Macaca fascicularis: one gene and its partners. The protein of the gene in region 4 interacts with the protein of the main gene of each other region in a pairwise test. Links are inferred from orthologs where the notes say so. Each region holds a gene or a part of one and is shown on either strand. Other genes may lie near its edges.

Region 1 (4,157 bases), on a different chromosome or scaffold from region 4:
CACCCACCTCGGCCTTCCAAAATGCTGGGATTACAGGCATGAGCCTCCACACCAGGCCCATGTATGTGTATCTTAAGTGTGTTAAATTCCACAAAGGGGAAGGAAAGGGAGCTACAATTACGGCATCTTTAGAGGACACCTGACTGAGCTCGGGAAACAAGACTGCTCTGAGGACTGAGATCTGACAGATGAGCAGTAGTTAACCAGGTATGGGAAGAGCTCATACAAAGGTCCTGTGGCTGGGGAGTGCTTGGGTCAGTGGAGGAATAGCAAGGAGGCCAAAATGACTTGTGCAAAGGAACAAGGCAGTGTGGGGTGGTGTGAGTCTGGAGGAGGGGCAAAGACCAGGCCATGCAGGACCCTAAAGGCCACAGTGAGGAGCCTAGGCTTTCTCTCAAGGGTACTTAGAAGCCATAGAGGTGCTGTGAGCAAGAAAGGGACAGGGTCAGTTTTGCGCTTTAGAAAGGCCTCTTGGACTCTTCTAGGGAGGACAGACTGGAGGAGCCAGGACTGGAGGCCAGCGGACCAGAGAGGAGGCTGGGGCAGTAATACAGGAGCAAATGGAAAATGTCTATATAAATGTCATCTGACAGGAAAACTGAACCTAGTAAACAGGTGCCATTTCAAGCTGGGATCCCAAGGAGACAGAGGAGTTAAACAGGTGAGGAGGGGGTAATACAGGCCAAAGCCCCGTGGTGGCAGAAATAGAAGGCCAGTGGAGCTGTCCAAGGATGAAGCTCAGTGGTCAGACCACAAGGGTCTTTTAGGCCAGGGATAGTTTGGTCTTCCCCCCAAAACAACTGAAGCATCAAACAGGAGAGGGAAGTGGTCAGGTTTCACTTAATATTCACTCCTTTTTTTTTTTTCCTTTTTTTTGAGACAGAATCTAGCTCTGTCACCCAGGCTGGAGTGCAGTGGCGCCATCTCCGTGCACTGCAGCTTCCCCCTCCCAGGCTAAGCAATTCTCGTGCCTCAGCCTCCCGAGTAGCTGGGACTACATGCACACACCACTAAGCCTGGCTAATTTATGTATCTTTAGTAGAGACGGGATTTCACCATTTTTGCCAGGCTGGTCTCAAACTCGTGACCTCAGGTGATCTGCCCACCTCGGCCTCCCAAAGTGCTGGGATTACAGGTGTGAGCCACCGTGCCCAGCCAACTTAATACTCACTCCTATTGTGTGCCAAGCCAAACCTCAAGAGTGGCTGAGCTCTTCTGGGAATGGGGAACCCAGCAACAAGCAAAACAGACAACGTTCTGGAGGTGGCCAGTCTAACGTCAGGACTGCTCTGAGGATTACAGAGACTTCCCTTTTTCTTGCTAACACCAGATCGGCACTGGGAGGCCACACCAAACGACACAGTATGTTACAACAAACAGAAGCTCTTGGGATCCTAACAATGACTATGCTCAAGAAAAGATTAATGAATATACTCCTGAGGAAATAAGCCTCTTGTCTTGACATACTTCCAAGCCCAGATTTTACCAGGATGACCTGTGTCCCCCAAACTAGGGTCCCCCACCCCAGACGAAAGGCCAGTTACTCACGATCTTTTCATAATACTCCCGTCTCCGCTCCGCCCTCTTCTTGTAGTCGACCATCATGCCTCGAAGTTTCCGCTCATGCTTCCGAGCCTCGTGCCACATTGTGGTGAGGCCAAGCCTGGGGCCTCAACCTGAGGGATGAAGGGACCAGGAAAGGAAGATGGGCTGTGAAAACCATATGGGCAGAATCAAAGTCATCTAACAAGTTGGTGACAGAGTCGATCCCAAACAACACATCGCTTAGCTTCAGGGAGCAGAAGTGAAGCTGCAGAACGGTATGCCAGATGTTCAAGTCCATCCCTAACAACTTCGATCTGGCAACTTGGGCATTCTAAAAAACCCTTAGGTGATTCTGAGGTGAGCATCCCTGGGAAAGGGGTGTCCTACATTCCATGCGCTGGAGTCGGGGATGAAAGTTTTGAAACATCAGTAGGGTCAGTAGTTTGAAGTAGGGTCAGACGGCAAACCCTGAGCACCTAAGGCTGGAGCTCAAGAGAAAGAGAAGAGCTGAAAAGGCTCCCACTAGGGGCCATGCGTGGGTATGAGTCTGGGTGCTAGAGGGATAAGGAAGGTAAGGATGAAGGCAGGTGGAGGAAATCGGAGAAAGCCTTTAAGGGAACAGTGCAGTTGCATGAAGGTGGAGGTCGAGGACAGGTGAAGGGCGTGGCGGAAAATGAAGATGCTAGAGGGAGTAGGAACACGGGAAGAGAGTGTTGCAAGGAGACCAGAGTGAAGTTGAGGTCTAAAGATGGGATCTAGATGGCAGGGTGTGGAGAGTACCCAAGGAAAAAGAGGGTAGAGCTTGAGAGAGGCGGAGTTGGCTGACGGGAGGGCGTGGGCTGAGCTTGGGGGCAGGGCTTGTGGGAAAGGGAGGAGACCGAAGGTTTGGACAGGGCTTGTGGATCGCGTCGCGGCCTGAGGATTTGGGCTGGATTGTTTTTTTTGGGTTTTTTTTTGACATGGGGGCGGGGACTGTGATAAGCTGTTGGCCGAAGGCCGAGTCCGACGCGGCAACTTCTGGCCCACAGCCGGGGCACGGGCGCGGCCTGAGGCCCGTCAGGCCGAATGGGGTGAGGGACGAGCGATCCTCGGGGCCGGGACGCAGCAGAAGCCTACAGCAGTATGGGAAAAGCCTAAGGAAAGGGAGAAGCTGGGCTGACGCCTGCCCGAAAACCGGGAGGTCGAGCCCGCCGCCTGCACTCACCGGCTGGTCTCCGCCTCCCAAAGCTGCGCTCGCGCGCTGCCCGCACAGGAAGCGGAAATGAAAGGCCGCGCTAGGGAGAGGGGGCGGAGCGTGGTGGAGCTCTGCACAGCGCAGTTCCGCCGACGTGAGGGGCGGGTCCTAGGGTTGAGAGGGGCGGGGTCAGAGGAAGAAGCGGTAGAACCGAGAAGGGAAGAGCTTGGATGCTTTATCTTTTTTAATTTTATTTATTTATTTTTATTTTTATTTATTTTTTTTTTGGATTGCAAAAATTTATTAAAATTGGAGACACTGTTTTAATCTTCTTGTGCCATGAGACTCCATCAGGCTGTCTACAAAGACCATTGGGAGGCTGAGGATCACTTGAGCCCAGACGTCTGAGGCTGTAGTAAGCTTCAGAGGGCCACTGCACTCCAGCTTGGGTGAGGAAAGACCCTGTCTTTCAAGCGGTAAGCTGCATGCTTGCTTGCTGTGGTCATTAAAAACCCTAGTTTAGGATAACAGGTCTGCCTGTTTGAAGATGAAAAATAATCCCATTTAAAATTTGCCCTACTCCATTTCCTTTTCAGTCACATTTCAACTTTTAAACAGCTAATCACTCCCATCTACAGATTAAGATGTATATGCCACTAAAACCTTTTGCCACCTTAAAAATTTCCTTGAGGCCGGGCGCGGTGGCTCAAGCCTGTAATCCCAGCACTTTGGGAGGCCGAGACGAGTGGATCACGAGGTCAGGAGATCGAGACCATCCTGGCAAACACGGTGAAACCCCGTCTCTACTAAAAAATACAAAAAAACTAGCTGGGCGAGGTGGCGGGCGCCTGTAGTCCCAGCTACTCGGGAGGCTGAGGCAGGAGAATGGCGTAAACCCGGGAGGCGGAGCTTGCAGTGAGCTGAGATCCAGCCACTGCACTCCAGCCTGGGCGACAGAGCCAGACTCCATCTCAAAAAAAAAAAAAAATTTCCTTGAAAGTTTAAACTAACCTGCATTTCTTCAAGCATGAAATCTGAGTCCTGAAATTAAGGGACAATACACAGTAAGACAACTTGCATACAATTAAGGGTAACCCAAAATCTCCAAACACTATAGAATGACTATATTCCCCTTTTCAGGGCATAAACTAGAATGTTACAGCCATCTTTTTATCTTTTTTATTTTATTTTATTTTTTTTTCTGAGACGGAGTCTGTCTTTGTCGCCCAGGCTAGAGTGGCGCGATCTAGGCTCACTGCAACCTTTGCCTCCTGGGTTCAAGCAATTCTCCCACCTCAGCCTCCCGAGTAGCTGGGACTACAGGCATGCGCCACCATGCCCGGCTAATTTTTGTATTTTTTGTAGAGACTAGGTTTCGTCTTTTTGCCCAGGCTGATCTCAAACTCGTGAGCTCAAGCGATCCTCCCGCCTTGGCCTC
Region 2 (3,511 bases), on a different chromosome or scaffold from region 4:
AGAATTAGTTATTAATACATTATAATGTCTCTTTTATTCTAAAAAATGTTCTGTAATTCTGTTCATTACTACTGAGTAAAGAAAATAAATTGTTAAATATTACCTTAAAGAGGCTGGGCTCGGTGGCTCAGGCCTGTAATCTCAGCACTTTGGGAGGCCAAAGTGGGCAGATCATGAGGTCAGGAGATTGAGACCATCCTGGCTAACATGATGAAACCCCGTCTCTACTAAAAATACAAAAAATTAGCCAGGCATGGTGGCAGGCACCTGTAGTCCCAGCTACTAGGGAGGCTGAGGCAGGAGAATGGCATGAACCCGGGAGGTGGAGCTTGCAGTGAGCCAAGATTGCACCACTGCACTCTAGCTGGGGCAACAGAGCAAGGCTCCGTCTCAAAAAAAAAAAAAAAAAAAAAAAAATTACCTTAAAGAACAGCATCCGTTTTGCCTACAAGCTTTTGTGTTTCAGAAACAAGCATTATTACATGAAGCATTAAACTTCGAGAACTAGAATTGAGAGTCTGTTAGGAAGTTAAAAATGTACTATCCATAAGATATGAAATTGTTTGTGTTCTGTTATACTTTAAACACTAGAAAAACAAATTGTTAGATTTCAGGTAAATTAATGCTATTCAAGAACAAATATATTTTATGATATGCAAGTTTGCATATCAACAAATAGAAACAATCCTTGTGTATCCATGAAAGCATTTCTGGAAGAAATTCTGTCTTGTAGCAGTTTATTCAGTTCTGCCATATGTATTTCCTTGACTAATCATGTAGCATTTCCTTAGTAGCAGTTCTACTTCAGACTTCACATTTTAGACGTGTTTTCCCTTAGTAAGGTATGATAGACTAGTGGAACATTTATAATTTCCCCCAGAAAAATCACCATCAAGTAAGTATACCAAACACTTTATCTTATGTGCTCAGAAGACAAGGTGTCATCATCACCTTTCCCAAACCCATGAGATTTATTTACAGCTTACATTGACTGTGAAACTCTTTTATCCCCTGGGAGTTCTACTGTATTTATTCCAGATCATAGGACACTTGCAACCTATTAACAGTGGTAAACAGGTCTTTCAAGTACATCTGACATAGCAATTACAAAATGTATTTCTTAGACAAATATCTAGAATTAAGTCAGGGCAAAGATGAAGATTAGGTGACCACAAGGAGTTTCTGCCTAGTTTATCTATTTTTCAAAAAAAAAAAAATTACAAGTATTATAGACCCCCCAGGTTCAAAATTCCAGTGAATAATTTAATGGATATTTTACCTGTTATATTTTAGAAAAACATTGATTTGATGAGTGCTTATTTAATAAAACAGCCTTACCCTAAATGATAGTAAATGAACACAGGATTAAAGGGAAGAAGGCAAGGGAGGAAGAATGGATAGATGGATGGAGGACAAATGGTAAATGAACACAGGATTAAAGGGAAGAAGGGAAGGAAGGAAGAGTTGATAGATGGATGGAGGACAAATGTATAATTAAGAATAATCAACTTTGAGCTGAGACCTGCTTGTTAAATTTTGCTTTTATTTTATTTTTCAGCCAATGTTTTCAGTTGCACCAAGCTTAGCCACCAATGCATCAGCAGCCTTTAATCCCTATCTGGGACCTGTTTCTCCAAGCCTGGTCCCAGCAGAGATCTTGCCGACTGCACCAATGTTGGTTACAGGGAATCCGGGTGTCCCTGTACCTGCAGCTGCTGCAGCTGCTGCACAGAAATTAATGCGAACAGACAGACTTGAGGTAGGAATGACTAGTTGGTGTCTTTATGTAATACATTCTAATTCTCCAAGTGTATTTTTTTGTTTGTTTGTGTTTCCATGGCCAAAAAGTTGTAAAAATTTTAAAACAGAGATTTTGGCTTAGGGTTTGGAACATTTTACTAGAGTATAGATATGCTGTATTTGATTAATGTAATGTTTATAAAGGCTACAACATCCATGTTTAGAATAGTGGATAAGAAGTTGGACCCTAAAGTCAGATTGCCTGGTTATATCACTGTACCTCAATTTCCTCATCTTTAAAACGGCACTTACCTCAAAGAGTTAGGGGAATATCTGGCACATAAGCAAATGCCTCCTGAGTGTTTGTTGTTGTTGCAACTATCAAGAATAACAAACGTTATCAATCCCCTAAAAATTTCTCATAAAGATTTACAAATATTAGTGTCTGTAAAACATTTTACAATTTATTATTGCAAGTTTTCTCATAAGCTGTACAATATTTTGGTTGAAGTAGAAAGGAAACTTTGTTTATGAAGTGTGCTTTCATAAAAGTTTTTTGCATAATCCTCTTAAGTTCTAGAGTAAAGGATGATCAGATGCATGGGCTCCGCTGTTGGTACATGAAAAAGATATTAAAGTTATAAATCTTACTTCAATGTGGTTGTTCAGAATTTCAACATGACTGTGAATTAATGAATTTGGTAAATTATAGATGTAGAGAAAAAGTGACAGCATCAAATGTACATTGAAGATACAAACCTGTCATTGAACCCACCTAAAGAATAAAATGACTTTTTCCTCTTTTCCCTGGTGAGGATGAGGTGATATATTTTTTTAACTTACATTTTAGGTTCAGGGGTACATGTGCAGGTTTTTATATAGGTAAACTTTATACCATTGGGGTTTGGTGTAGAGATTATTTCATCACCCAGGTAATAAGCACAATACCCAATAGGTATTTTTTTCTGATCCTCTCCCCCCTCCCACCAACCACCCTCAAATAGGCCCTAACATCTGCTGTTTCCCTCTTTGTGTCCATGAGGTCTCATCATTTAGCCCCCACTTACAAGTGAGAACATGTGGTATGTGGTTTCCTGTTTCTGTATTAGTTTGCTTCAGATAATGGCCTCCAGCTCAATCTATGTTGCTGCAAAGGACGTGATCTCATTCTTTTTTATGTCTGCATAGTATTCCATAGTGTATATATACCACATTTTCTTTATCCAGGCTACCATTGATGGACACTTAGGTTGATTCCTTGTTTTTGCTGTTGTGAGTAGTGCTGCAGTGAATATACACATGTGTGTCTTTATGGTAGAACGATTTATATTCCTTGGGTAAATACCCAGTAATGGGATTACTGGGTCAAATGATTTCTGTTTTTAGGTCTTTGAGGAATTGCCACACTGTTTTCCACAACGGTTGAATTAATTTGCACTCCCACCAGCAGTGTATAATTGTTTCTATTTCTTTGCAACCTTACCAACATTCATTATTTTTTGAGTTTTTAATAATAGACATTTTAACTGGCGTGAGATGGTATCTGGTGGTTTTGATTTGCATTTCTCTAATATTAGTGATAATGGACATTTTTCATATACTTATTGGCCACTTGTGTATCTTTCTTTGAAAAGCATCTGTTTATGTCCTTCACCCACTTTGTAATAGGGTTGTTTTTTGCTCATAAATTTAAGTTCCTTACAGATTCTAGATATTAGACCTTTGTGGAATACGTAGTTTGTAAATATTTTCTCCCATTCTGTAGGCTGTT
Region 3 (4,286 bases), on a different chromosome or scaffold from region 4:
TTAATCTCTGCCCATTTAGGATTCCCCTTGGGTATCTCCTCTGTGCCCACCCAGTCTGAGCTAGGTGCCCTCTGATGGCAGGCTGTGTAGGCTCTCATTGCACTTGGCCACATGGAATGGAAATTTATGGCTTGTCTGCTTCCCACAGTGGACTGGGAGTTCCTTGAGGGTGGTGACTAAGGTTTTAAATCTCTATGTCCCACCCTAACCAAGCACCAGTTACCTTGTAAGTGCTTCATATCTGTTGTTAAGTAAATGAATAATGGAGAACCTAGACAAGGACTTGACAGAGAAGCAAAAGGAACAGTGACTGCCCAAATAGTACTTTTCACCCCTGGAAATGTTGTTACTACCCCGAGCATACAGTGAGCAGTCCACATCCATATAGATCAGCAGACCAAGTGGAATAGAATGAATGGAATGAGCCTGGCTTCTTCAGGCCTGATGCTGAGGACATGTGCCCTACCTGTATGGAGGAGATAGCTCTATCCCCCTCCAAAGACAGTGACAACACAGGTACATACACAAATGTATAGCATGTGTCACAGTCCTTAAAGACATTACATAGGGCTGAGCAAAGTAGGCACCTGTGCGCGTGTGGAGGACATATGGTAGCTCCAGAATTCCAGGAGCCAGCTCAGGGCGGCCCAGAACAAAGCGTCAGGGTGCGGAGGGCGTCTGCATGGGGCAGGGGACAGTGTCATGATGGCAGTTGATGACATTTGGGGGATTGAGTGAATAAGCATATAATATATTAAGGATAATGGGAGCCAGCTTCTGATGAATGTTAGAGAAGGGAGTTACAAATGTAGAAAGGGAGTGTTGGATTGGAATTGGAAGTATGAATTGGAAGTATGAATTGGCAGTATGAATTTATGGCTTTCAATACATATAGATTAATATAGAAATAAATAGATACGTAAATAGAGGAGGAAACTGGGATTCAAAATTAGATCTGTCTAGCTCTTTTCACTGATCTATACTACCGCCCTACACATAGGGCCTCTGCTGTGAAACCTCTGCCCCCTTCCCTGTCCCCCCAGAACCCCAACCCTAACTCACACAGACTTAAAAGATTCCACCCTCGTGGTTCCAGAGCATGCATCACATCTCATGTCATTAGCTGCACACAACTAACTCATGACGTTTTGATTACACTGAGGGTAGGCCTCCTCTTATCTGTATTCCCTGCATCTCCCTTGGAGCCAGGCACATGGTCATCACACTAGTTAGTATTAATATTTATTGTGCAGTTGTTATGCATCAGGAAAGACTTCCCATACATAATCATTCACAGCTGAAGACAACCTTATGAGGGATGTATTACCATCATTCTCATTTTACATATTGGCAAGGTGAGGTTAGCGGTGTTAACTGAGGTACTCCAAGATGCAGAGCTAGTGGGAAGTAGAACCAAGAGTCAAGGCCAGACAGTCTAATTCCTCAGGCTGTGCTCCTTGCCCCTCAGCTCTGCCACCATGGACTTGGTGTAAGTAAATGTTCACTCAACAAATTCCTCCCGGGGGATTTGTGTATCTGAATGCTCTCCCTCAATCCAAGTCCACTCTTTATGCTGAGCTTACTTGAAGCTCACCTCTTTAGGGAAGCCCCCCACCCCGCCATCCTACTCTGCACTGCCTCAGCATTCCTTGGGCACAGGACTTGCACCACGCCCTGACATATGAGCCAGTCAGTGTTGGAGCAGGGAACATAGTTTATCGACATTTGTTGAACTGAATTCAATGCCCAGGAATGGAAGTAAACAGGAATACATGACAAGGTGGTGTATTGTACAGGATACTGTGGCTATCTATTTCTGGATTTTCCTGAGAGTTCCAATTTCTAAAATTCCATCCTCTCATCAGACCATTTGTCAGAATACATGGCCAAGAATGTAGTCTGGAATTTTCTGTAAAGAGTAGGGTCACCATTCTACTGAAAAGAGATAGGAATGAAGACAGGATGTGCTGCTGGTCACCCACAACTCTACACATCCATGAGCAGGTCACAGCTTCTCTCAACCTCTTTATCCATGGGTAAAACTACAATGCAACACCTACTCCTACTGTGGAATGAAACAAAGTCTGTGTGTGAATGTGTTTTAAATACCGATAAAGAATATTGTCGCATAAACCCAGTTACTGTTAGTGGGATTACTTATATTTTTACTGATCTGTCTGGCAAGTCGTTTTCATTTGTCAAAGTAAATAAGCTTTGAATGAAGGCCACTGCAGAAAAAAATAGGGTATAAAGAGAGGAAATGCCAAGGCGTTTCTAGTGTTTTCAAAAAGACACACCTAGATATTTCCATCTTTTAGACTCTCCTCAGTTTGGGGGGTGTGTGTGTCTGTGTGTGTGTGTGTGTGTGAGAGAGAGAGAGAGAGAGAGAGAGAGAGAGAGAGAGAGAGAGGTGAGAACTGGGGGCTGAGTGGGCAGAGGTGACATTTTTAAAAAATGGTATGAGATTCTACCTTGTAGAGGAACTAGGCCATCTTACCTTTGCTGTATTGCGGATCAGTTCCCAGCTGTGTGAAGTCTCAGGTGATAGTCCGTTTGAGAGATGAGTTTTGCTGGCTTAGCAGTAGCTCAGGAAATTTTTCTTTCTCTTTCCAGTATTCTGTGTCCCAGCTATGCATCAAAACTGCTCCACCATTGTACATGCAGGGGTTAACCAGGGCATCCCCTGTCCCTTCTGCAAGGCTTTGGGTAGAGCAGATTCATAAAACTGAGAGCAGCTATGGAGAGCTTAGCGGGAGAGTGGTCCCCTGCAGAGCAGCATGCATTAGCATCAGTGACAAATCTATTCTGGTTTGGATGGGGCTGAGACGCCCCTGAACTTCCTTCTGCTTTTGCCAAAAGCCAAGATCCTTTTGTTCACCTTTAGGGTTGCCAAGTCAGGCCTACCTCGCCCCTAGATGTTGTTTCCTGTGGGCAATGGGAAAATGATCTTGGAGCCAGAGAAGGGAAATCAACAAGGAAATAAACACAGGGTCACCACACCTTCAGGCCATCATTAGGTCTGGAACATTATCATGCTAATAGGCAGGGGCTGCTGACTGGACAGGCCCTAGAATCCTGGGCATCTTTTATTTTTGAATATGAAAAGGGACATGCACCAAAATCTATATCAGGCAAATAAGTAGTTCTGACTTGTTCCAATACCTTGCCAAAACTTTCAAAGATTTTCTCTCGGCAGTATTGCTCATAACTGAACACTGGCTAATGTTTGTGGACAAAGAAAAAGACTGAGCAAGTTTGTGGCTGATACTACTTAAGACTCTTAACTCTAAAGATACAGAATGATTGTTTAAATAAGGATTTCTTCTGCTCATTCTTCAGCATTACCATCGCCATCATTGTCAGCCGCTGCAACATCTTTGCTAACATTTATTAAGTGCTTACTGCCTACCAGGTTCTGTAGTAATTACCTGACCTGCATTATTTAATTTAATTCTCAACAGAATCTATAATTATCACTCCCATTATATAGATAAAGAAACTGAGGATTAGAGACATTAAGTCGTTCCTGCAAAGTGACCCAGCTAGTTAAAAATGTAAACGTTGCGCTTCTGGAAGTGTGCTTTTCTGAGTTTTGCTTTTCCCACTGGTTTGCTTAAGCACTTCTGTGGGATGACAGCTCCAGTGATGGCCAAAGATTTTGCTTAAATAAGCGATAAGCTCTGGGAATTCGATTCTAAGTAGAAATGTGAATAATTAGTGAATTAAGTAGTCTCTTTCCAGAGATGTGAATCGGGAGCTCGGTGTTATCTTATGTATGTGCAACATGCAAGAAAGACACATGGAGTGCAGGTACTTGTGGCTCCCTAATTACAGGTGGTGCCGCTGGCTGCGGTGCCTTCAGCTCTCCACTGTGACTCTGATTTACAAACAAGGAAGTACACTGCAAATTCCTTGGCCTCTGTGTGCATTTTGGTCATGGCCTGATTGCCACTTTGTCCCTTTGACTTTCGGAGCCAGCTGCTACAAGTTTCTTTTAATCAATAATCCACGGAGTGAATGAGGCAAAATTGCCAACCTGGAAAATTCTGCCTGGTGAGATGAAGTCAGCACATGTATTTTCAGTCCTAAGGTCACACTTCTGACTCTTTTTGGTTCTACCCCTAATCTTTATTTTCAATTGCTAGCACTTAGCTCTCTTGTGTCATGGCGGTTACCCAGGGCAGCTGGCATCTGGTCAAACAAAAGTAAAACAGTTAATTAGGAACCAAAAGGATGCCCTCCAGTGGGCTCAAGTTTTCTGTTTTCATAAACATAAGAGTTGTGAC
Region 4 (3,941 bases):
TTCTAGCCACACTTCCTTCCTCCTGCTATTCAAACACATTCAACCTGTTCCTTCTTCAGGGCCTTGGCACTTGTTCTCACTATTTCTAATGACTGGTTCCTTATCATACAGACCTCAGATCAGTGGTCATGTGCTTAGAGGGCTGTTTCCCAAACGCCCAGCCTGATGTCCTACCCCAGTCATTTTCTATCACATGTCGTCATCTACTTAAATTTTGGTCAATAGTGATAATTACTATCCAATAGCTTCTTGCTGATTTACTTGTTTATTTTCCGCCTTACTAGAGAGCAGGTTACAAGAGAATAAAAATTACTTGTCTGTGTTCTTTTGAATGTTCTGCCCGTCTCCATAAAGTAGAGGTTGGCTCATAGTAAGCACACAAAAATATTTATTGATGAGTGAATTGTTACTGATATATAATTACCTCAAGAAGGGCAGACCTGCGTCAGATGAAGGAAGAAAAACTCATGTTTTGCTATCACTTACCATGTGTCAAGCTCTGTGCTTGTCTCATGTGATTATCACAATTCTATGAGACATATGGTTCCCATTTTGTAGATGAAGAAATGGAAGCTCAATCATTTGGTCGTTTGATAAGACCACACAGATACAACCGAAACCCTGGTCTGTCTGCTTCAGTGCCCACACACTTGATTGTGGGGTGTGCATAACATGTCTCAGGGGTTTATGTACCTGCAGGAGAGTGTGTGTCTGCTGCTGCAAAATCTTGCACCTGTGAACACCGCAAGAAGGAGGAGGCTGTGTAAAAGCACATGCAGGCCAAGACCCTAGAGGCAGCTCAGAGAGGGCTCTCCCTAGTAAATCACTTTTGCTTAACCCGAAGCCCATACTTCCCAGGGGAGCAGACACTGAGCACCGCAAACGGTGAAGACTGCAGAATGGCTGCAAGTTGTAGACCTCACTGTGACCGTAGCAGAGAAGGGAGTCTGCGAGTGGGTGCTGAGGTCCTTCCCACTCAGAGCTCACATTCAGGCCAGGTCGGTCAGGCCGCGCCACCTCTTCGGGCAACAGCATTCCGCGCTAGGTAGCGAAATGCTGAGGGGCTCCCCTATTCGGGGGAATGCGGTAGTGATGTATAAGGTATGAAAGATGTGGCCTGCAGAGAGCCGGCACTATCTCTACTGCTGCTGCTGCTGCTTCTGCTGTTGCTGCCGCTGCCTCTGCTGCCACCACCACTACTGCTGCCAGCGGAGCTGCTGGGAGTGAGCATCCCCTCTCCGGGATACCCAGCTCCGCGGCATCTCCCGCGCGCCCTGGCCCCACACGGACCTGCCAGCCCCAGGGAACAAAAGCGGAGCCCGCTCGTCCTCTACTGCAGCCGGAGGATGAGTCGAGAGGGCTGAGCGGAGAGTGTGGTCCTCGGCGGCTGGAGGTAGGAAAAGATGTTGCGCCCGCCGCGGCGTGGGAGGCTCGAGGTGGGCGCGCCGGGGTAGGGGCGGCCGCGGGGGCCCATCCGTCCAGTGGGCGCTGCCCGCACCCGGCGAGGTGGTGGTCTGCAACGCTGCGCCCGCACTGCCCACTGTGGGTTGGGCGCCGCGGTCTCGCGGCCGCGAGAGAGCCTCCTGGGTGGGAACTGGAGGCAGCAGGGGAAAAGTCTGGAGCCAGAAGCCAGGCAACGGCTGCCGCGGCGGCTGCGGAGGGCTGCCCGCGGCGCTTGGCGGCGCGCGTCTCACCGCGCAGAGTGGGCAGGCGGCGGCTGCAGTGTGCGCAAAGTTTTGGGTGGCGCGCAAAGGCGCAGGCGAGGGCTGCCGCACCGAGCCGGCCAAGTTGTGGCCGGAGCGCCAGGGCGACCCTCGGGCTTCCCCCACCACGCGGAATCGCCCGAGCCAAGCGGCTCTTGCTCCCTGACACCCCAGCTGAGGCCGAGTTGACGCGCAGCCATTTAACCCTTTCTGTTCCGAGGAAACAACTTCATCCGCGTCGACGACTGGACTCGGGCTAGCTGGGTAGCCTTGAGGTTCCCGGCAGGTTCAGTCCTTCTGTGATCTTGCGCATTTCCTCGCTCAGTCCGCGTTTTCATTTCTTTTTTGTCCACTTCTGTATCTAGAAACCAGGCAAGCTGGCCAGGGGTCTTACCCAAAGTCTGTAATTTTAACCCTCGCGCCATCTGGACGCATGCTTTCTTTCTGCCCTCTCAGCTTGGCTCTTTGATGCTGCTTTGAAAAATAAGATGATTAATCAATTAGGTTAGTGGCCAATTAGGCATAACCTTGTAGGAAAATAATTATGCCCGGCTCTCTGGGCTTTCACTGATGATGAGGTGGGAATCCAGCCCAGGTGGAGGGGCTGTTCCGAAAAGATAGGGCTGATCAGGGAATTTCTGAGAATTTAAGATTAAAAAGATCCAACTATGTGGTGGTGGCTGAGGTTGTGGGGGTGCAGTAGGAGTTTGTGTGTGTGTGTACCAATTTTTGCCGATAAAATTAACCCTTGGCAGCACAGTATGGGTGGACTTTGCAGGCAGCCTGTTTCGAACAGCTCAGAAAAGGTGTGTCCCCTTGCTTTCCAAGCCCCCTCCTCTCCTCTCTTTCAGAGGGGCTCTTGCCTGTAAATCGCCTTGCTGTGTTTTTGCTTCCGCTTTGGGAGGCTGAGTTCCAATGAATGCATTTTAGTTTCGTGTCCGAGGAATCGCGTCGTTGCAGACCGAGGTTCCTTACTGTGCCTTCCGAGGATGCACATTTCCCGTGATCATGTTAAATACAGCGGTTATTAAATGGGTGCAAAAGAAAGACAATCTGTTTCCAGGCCTGGGAAGTTCTGCTGCAGAGCGGGGCTTCCTTTTGCTTTTGGAATGACTGGTGGGGTTTGGCACTGCAGTATTACAATACAGCCATATTAAAAAGGTCTTCAGAGCTTGGAGCCCTCTACCACTGCAGCCCCATCTTCCACACACTTCCCTGCCCAAATCCTTCGTGCAGGGAACATGTAGTGAATTTCGTACCTGCACCATGTGCATTTGAACCTCTTTCTGTCTCTATTTTAAGCTGCTTCTATCTCTTTATACATTCGGATGCTAGATAGTAGATTTCTGTTAAGATTCTGTTCAAAATCTAGAGGTGTTCCCAGGGCAGAGGGATTTTTGCAACAGGTCCTAGGTCTGGGTTTTCTAATAATAGATCTCCCTGGCATTTAGTGACATGGGGCCCCAGTCTCTCCACCAGTGACCTGACAAGGGTTGGACCAAGGGATCTCTGAAATCCCCTGCAGTGCTGACATTAGCTGGTTCTGAATTTTATGGCTTTTTCTTTTTCTCAGCTGAGCGGAAGGAGTAGCTGGAGCAGTACACGCAATGTGACAGCAACAGTGCCACCTCGCTCCTAGTGGAAAGGAATGGGGGCTGGCCAGGGCTTATTGGCAAATAGGGATTTCCCAGCTGGAAGACTGCCTGGTGATACTGGTGTGCAGGGACAACTGGGAGCCACAGGATTCACCCGCCTCCCTCAAAATGAATGGCCACCATTCAGCACTCTCTCTTTGACAAGATTTTTCTTTTCTTGAATCTGGACTCAGCTAGTTGCCTTACAGTGACCACATTTGTGGATCAGATTCTTGTGCAAGCAAAAGCCTTGCTCCTTTTTAAAAATGGAATCTTTTGTACATACCGGGAAGGGATGCAGAGTGAGAATAGAGGGAGAGAAGAAAGAAGAGAGGGGAAGAGGCAAAGGAAGGAGTGAGTGGGGGGCAGAGCTAAGAGATATAGAGAGACAGAGATAGCTTAAGTCTTCAAATGCAACCAGACAGTGGGAAAGAGGAAGCAGAGACAGAGAACTAGGTTGGGGGTTGGGGGTTGGGGAGGTTGGTGGTGAGGAGAAGAAGGGAGAGATGCAGGAAGGGAAAGAAAAGCAGCGAGGGAAATACTAGCCCTAAGAGGGAGCGATTAGAGCCCACATGAAGCAAGACCAGTCTTACCATCTAGCTTA
Region 5 (4,156 bases), on a different chromosome or scaffold from region 4:
GTGGACAGGGCTGGTCCCGGTGCAGGCAGGCCACTTCCTGTGGTTGGGGGGTGGTGCGCCAGAGGTTGCCTGCAGCAGGAAGCCCCCGTACAGGCCAGGGCCTCCTGTTCCACTTGGCAGAGACCCCAGAAGGAGCCCGGGGGCAGCATCAGAGCCTGGGGCCCAGGCAGGGGTGCCCAAGGGCACAGCAGCTGCAGGCCATTGGCAAGGCCAGAAGACGGTGAGTGGAAAGCTGGGGGCACGTGGAGAGACCCCAGGAAGGGGCTGTTCGGCGGGACTTCTTGCATTTGCCGTTTGTGTTTCATCCGGCGATTCTGAAACCAGGTTTTTATCTGCAGGAAAACCAAAATCAGAGCAGGGGTGAGACTAGGCCACCGGCCCACCCTTGCCCACCTCAGCCCGGCCCGCCTCACCTGGACCTCTGAGAGCTGCATCTCCCTGGCCAGCCTCTTCCGCTCAAGAGGGCTCAGGTACTGGTGGTGCTGGAAGACGCCCTCCAAGGTGCGGACCTGGTCCGTGGTGAAGGCTGTGCGGACACGGGGGCCCCGCAAGGTATTTGGCTCCTTACTCAACCCTGGCATAGAGGGTGAGAGCATTTGGCTGAGCCTGCCACCCCATGGGGCAAGCCCCGCCCACAGGTAACAGGTGAAGACAGCATGTTGGGGGCTGGGCAGGGCAGATCTTCTCACCTGACAGTGACCAGCAGCCCTGCCGCAGCCTCCAGGTCATGTGCGTGCGGAAAGGGGCTGAGAGAGGTGACTCAGGGGAGGGAGAATGCTACCAGCAGCTTGGGCCTGCCCTCCGCTCGGCTGGCTCAGCTCACTCAGTTCGGCCCCATCCCACACTTCCCTTCCGAAGCCGGTTCCCAGGATACCCTTTCTGCAGACTTCCAGGCAGGTAAGGTAGAGTCCATTACATGCAAAGGCCTGGGGACCCACCCAGGGAACTCGGTCCCTGTCCTGGGCTCCGGCTCCTCAGCCAGCAGAGCCCGGCTCAGTTAATCCCCAGGCCCACCTTGGTCAAGTCTGTTTTCTAATTTCTAAGTTAAGGAATGGGGGCTGGCACTAAACAACCCCACAAGGTGGTGTGTGTCTGGGTCCCAGGAAGGAGGCCAACGTGGCGAAACGAGCTCAACATTTAACTCAAGTCTGACCCAAATGCTCACTGGAGTTTCTGCGGAAGGAAGCGTATTTTACAAAATCTGTCTTCACGTTAGCCTGAAAGCACATGGGAGACCCGAAAAGCAAATGCCTTGTGGCGGGGAGGGCTGTAGGACTGGGATCAGGAAGGGGGTTGGGGGACAGGAATGGTTGACTTTTTTGGGGTGGGGCAGGATAGCTAGCTGGGAAGAACATATTTAAATTTTCATTTCCCTGAAGTACAAAGTTACTCCATGAGGATCAGTCAAATTTTTAAAAATGAAAACTTATGTTAACCCCACTTTTGACCAAGTACTACCTTAAACCTAAAAGCGGCAACGATGTCACAAAGACTAAAACACAAACGCGGAGAACCTTTGTTCTCAGCAGACAACAGAGCATCTCCGGGCCACAGACCGAACTTCAGAGTTTCTGCAGGCACCGGGTCACCGCCGCCCTACAGCAAACCTGCAGGCTCTTTAAAAGACAGCTGTGCTCCAGGTGGCCTGGAAGGGGCTTGAGCCTAGATGCTGAGCAGGCACTGGCTTTGCTGGGGGCAGAGGGGGCTTGGCAAATCGTCGGACCCCTGGAACTGGGTCTCGATGGTTGCGGGGCTGGAACACTAGGGGCACAGGTGCCCACGCCCGCGCTGTGTTTCAGTGAGCGCCCGGAATCAGGGCAGAGAGGTGCGGACAGGGACCCCTTGGACGGTCCCTCGGCACCAGGCCGCGGTGGGACACAGCTGAGGAACGGGGTGCCAAGGGAGGCAGAGGAGCCCACCGAGGGCTCAAGGAGAGAAAATCCCCGTCAAGGCTTTGGTTTCGAGGGAAGCTGCGCTCCAGTGAGGCGCAGGCAAGGCCTCCGCCGGCCCTCATGGACACGTCCCCGGCCCTGTCCTCGTCCGCCCCGTACCGCGGGGAGTTCAGCCGCCGGGCTCCTGGCCTCTCCCCCACTCCCATCTCCACCTGGGAAGGACCCCCGGCCCGGACCTACCAGCCACGGTCCTCTCCGGCGCAGGCAGATCTGAGGACGTGGCGGCCTCCTTGATGCTGATGGCCTGAGGGGGCTCCCGGGCGCCGGATATCTGGCCCGGGCCAGGGAGGCTCCCCGGGGAGACGTCGGCAGGCCTGGGCGAGGGGGTCAACCCTGAGCAGCTGCTCTGGGAGAGCCAGTCCACAGAGCCAAAGCTGGAGGGCTGCTGCTGGCCACGAGGTGGGGAGGAGGAGAGGCGCATGGCGGCCAGGTGGGCCGGAGGGAAGGCCGGGCGGGGCTGGCCAGGCGCAGGATCCACCTCCGGCCTCGCCGGGCGGCGGCGTTTATAAGCCCGGGAGGAGGGGGCGGGAGCCCGGTTTGCATACACGGCTAACGCCCGGATAAGCAGCGCCTAATTGCCTTCGATTCAGAGACACAAAGGAGACCGTTCACACCTCCCCGGCTCCTCGGTGTCTGGGGCAGGGGCGGGGCTGCGGGCCCTGGTTAATGGAGAGGGGACGGTTCGGCATCGGTCACCTCCTTTCATCTCTCCCAACCCCCACCCCGCGGGCCGAGGCTGCTGGAAGGTAGGAGGGTCCCGCTCCCACTCGGGCCTGCCCTGGGCGGTGCCGGGCGACCTCTCCTCTCCAGGGGGACGCTGGCGCCTGTGCCCAGCCCGGACACCCGAGGGCGAGCAGGCTTCAGGCTGGGAGAGTCAGGGCGGACTCAGCCGGTGCCCGCGTGCGCTGCGTCCAGGCTGTGCGGTCGCGCAGGAACCGAGGGACGCTTTCCGGGAAAGACGCGGAGGGCTCGGGGAGCGGCGCGCGGGGACGGCAATGTCGGGAGGGGCCTCTCGGGGCACTCGTCCGCTTCCAGCCCTACTCCGGCTCCTCTGGGGGACTCACTCCCGGGGCCATCGCAGCAGCCTCCGCATGCGGGCGCGGGCGGCTCCCTGACCCCATCCGGAGCTGGAAGGGCCGGAGCCACTGCCTCGCGCGGCGGGGTAGACACTCCGCTTCGGCTGCGGGACTGGCGCGTCCCCGCCAAGCCGGGCTGTCCCCACTGTGGCCAGGGCGGGGGCAGAGCCGCCGGGGACTGTGGAGCCCAAACCTCACGGGGACGCCTTGAGCACGGGCTCCCGGGACGGTCATCGCGACGCGCGGCCGCTGCTCCCACGAACCTTGGTCCCGAGTTGTTTGCGTCTCCGCGTCCTGGGCGTCCCCGGGTCGCCTGCGCCGTCGGGGTGGGGCGCGGGGCCGAAGTGGCCGGGTGGGAGGCAGCCACGCCGCGAGCGTTCCCTCCGGCCTCGGACCAGCTTCCCGCGCGCCGGGACACACGGACTCGCGTTGCGCCCACGCCGAGGGTAGGACGGTGTCTTCCGCGCACTGGCTTGGGGTCCACACTGCGTCTCCGGCGGCCGGGGTTAGGCGCGGGCGCAGGTCCGAAGCCATGCGGGGTTTCGGCGCAGACGGGGTCCAGGGAGCAGCCCCGACTCCCGGCCGGGTCCTGACCGCGGTTGCCTCAGCGCCCACCCCGCTCTCCGAAATCAGAAAGACCCGCGGGCCTCGCCCCACGGTTACGCCCAACCCGGCTATCCGCGCCTCCCGGGCTGAGAAAAGAGGGAGGAGCCCGGGAGGGGGGCGCTGGGGCGGGACCTCACGGGGAACAGGTGGGTCACAGGTGACGGGGTCGGGGAACGGACTGCGCCGCTGCTGACCCTGGTCTTCCTCGGACCCTGCCGACCCAGTTAGGCCACCGGGCCCTCAAGGGGGAGGCTGGCAGGGGTGGGGCGCTGGGGGCTTTGGACGTGGCCTCGGGGGTAAAACCAGGAGGGCTGGGGGGCCAGGAAGGCGGCCTAGACCCCGTCCCCACTTCATCTCCGGAAAGACCGGGTCACCCCCGGGAGAGGGGATTTGAAGCCACTGCCCAGGACCAGCAGAGTGTTCCGGCCAGGGGCAGCGAGGGCCCAGATGCCTACGGCCACAGGGCTGGCCCCGAGGATGCCCCATGAGGCAGGTACCCAGCCCTCCCGCAGTGGGGGCGGC

What was found.
Region 1: the proteins of DAB1 (region 4) and CLASRP interact in a two-hybrid assay, tested with the Homo sapiens proteins (2 studies listed by BioGRID and IntAct). The link is inferred for Macaca fascicularis from reciprocal best matches to the Homo sapiens genes DAB1 and CLASRP.
Region 2: the proteins of DAB1 (region 4) and MBNL1 interact in binary tests that used the Homo sapiens proteins (3 or more experiments, as listed by UniProt). The link is inferred for Macaca fascicularis from reciprocal best matches to the Homo sapiens genes DAB1 and MBNL1.
Region 3: the proteins of DAB1 (region 4) and LNX1 interact in binary tests that used the Homo sapiens proteins (3 or more experiments, as listed by UniProt). The link is inferred for Macaca fascicularis from reciprocal best matches to the Homo sapiens genes DAB1 and LNX1.
Region 5: the proteins of DAB1 (region 4) and VENTX interact in binary tests that used the Homo sapiens proteins (3 or more experiments, as listed by UniProt). The two-hybrid records come from large-scale screens. The link is inferred for Macaca fascicularis from reciprocal best matches to the Homo sapiens genes DAB1 and VENTX.

What each region holds. Positions count from the first base shown.
Region 1 is NC_088393.1:53,079,234-53,083,390, reverse strand, and holds the start of CLASRP (CLK4-associating serine/arginine rich protein), read right to left. Parts: upstream 2,803-4,157; 5' UTR 2,750-2,802; intron 1,711-2,749; exon of another isoform or gene 1,677-1,710; 5' UTR 1,648-1,676; coding exon 1,549-1,647; intron 1-1,548. UniProt on the Homo sapiens protein: Probably functions as an alternative splicing regulator. May regulate the mRNA splicing of genes such as CLK1. May act by regulating members of the CLK kinase family.
Region 2 is NC_088376.1:55,377,899-55,381,409, forward strand, and holds part of MBNL1 (muscleblind-like protein 1), read left to right. Parts: intron 1-1,558; coding exon 1,559-1,759; intron 1,760-3,511. UniProt on the Homo sapiens protein: Mediates pre-mRNA alternative splicing regulation. Acts either as activator or repressor of splicing on specific pre-mRNA targets. Inhibits cardiac troponin-T (TNNT2) pre-mRNA exon inclusion but induces insulin receptor (IR) pre-mRNA exon inclusion in muscle.
Region 3 is NC_088379.1:80,251,438-80,255,723, reverse strand, and holds the start of LNX1 (E3 ubiquitin-protein ligase LNX), read right to left. Parts: upstream 2,808-4,286; 5' UTR 2,498-2,807; intron 1-2,497.
Region 4 is NC_088375.1:176,441,363-176,445,303, forward strand, and holds the start of DAB1 (disabled homolog 1), read left to right. Parts: upstream 1-1,132; 5' UTR 1,133-1,393; intron 1,394-3,941. UniProt on the Homo sapiens protein: Signaling adapter of the reelin-mediated signaling pathway, which regulates the migration and differentiation of postmitotic neurons during brain development.
Region 5 is NC_088383.1:142,308,072-142,312,227, reverse strand, and holds the start of VENTX (homeobox protein VENTX), read right to left. Parts: upstream 2,803-4,156; 5' UTR 2,374-2,802; coding exon 2,133-2,373; intron 887-2,132; exon of another isoform or gene 730-886; coding exon of another isoform or gene 690-729; intron 575-689; coding exon 414-574; intron 333-413; coding exon 1-332. UniProt on the Homo sapiens protein: May be involved in ventralization.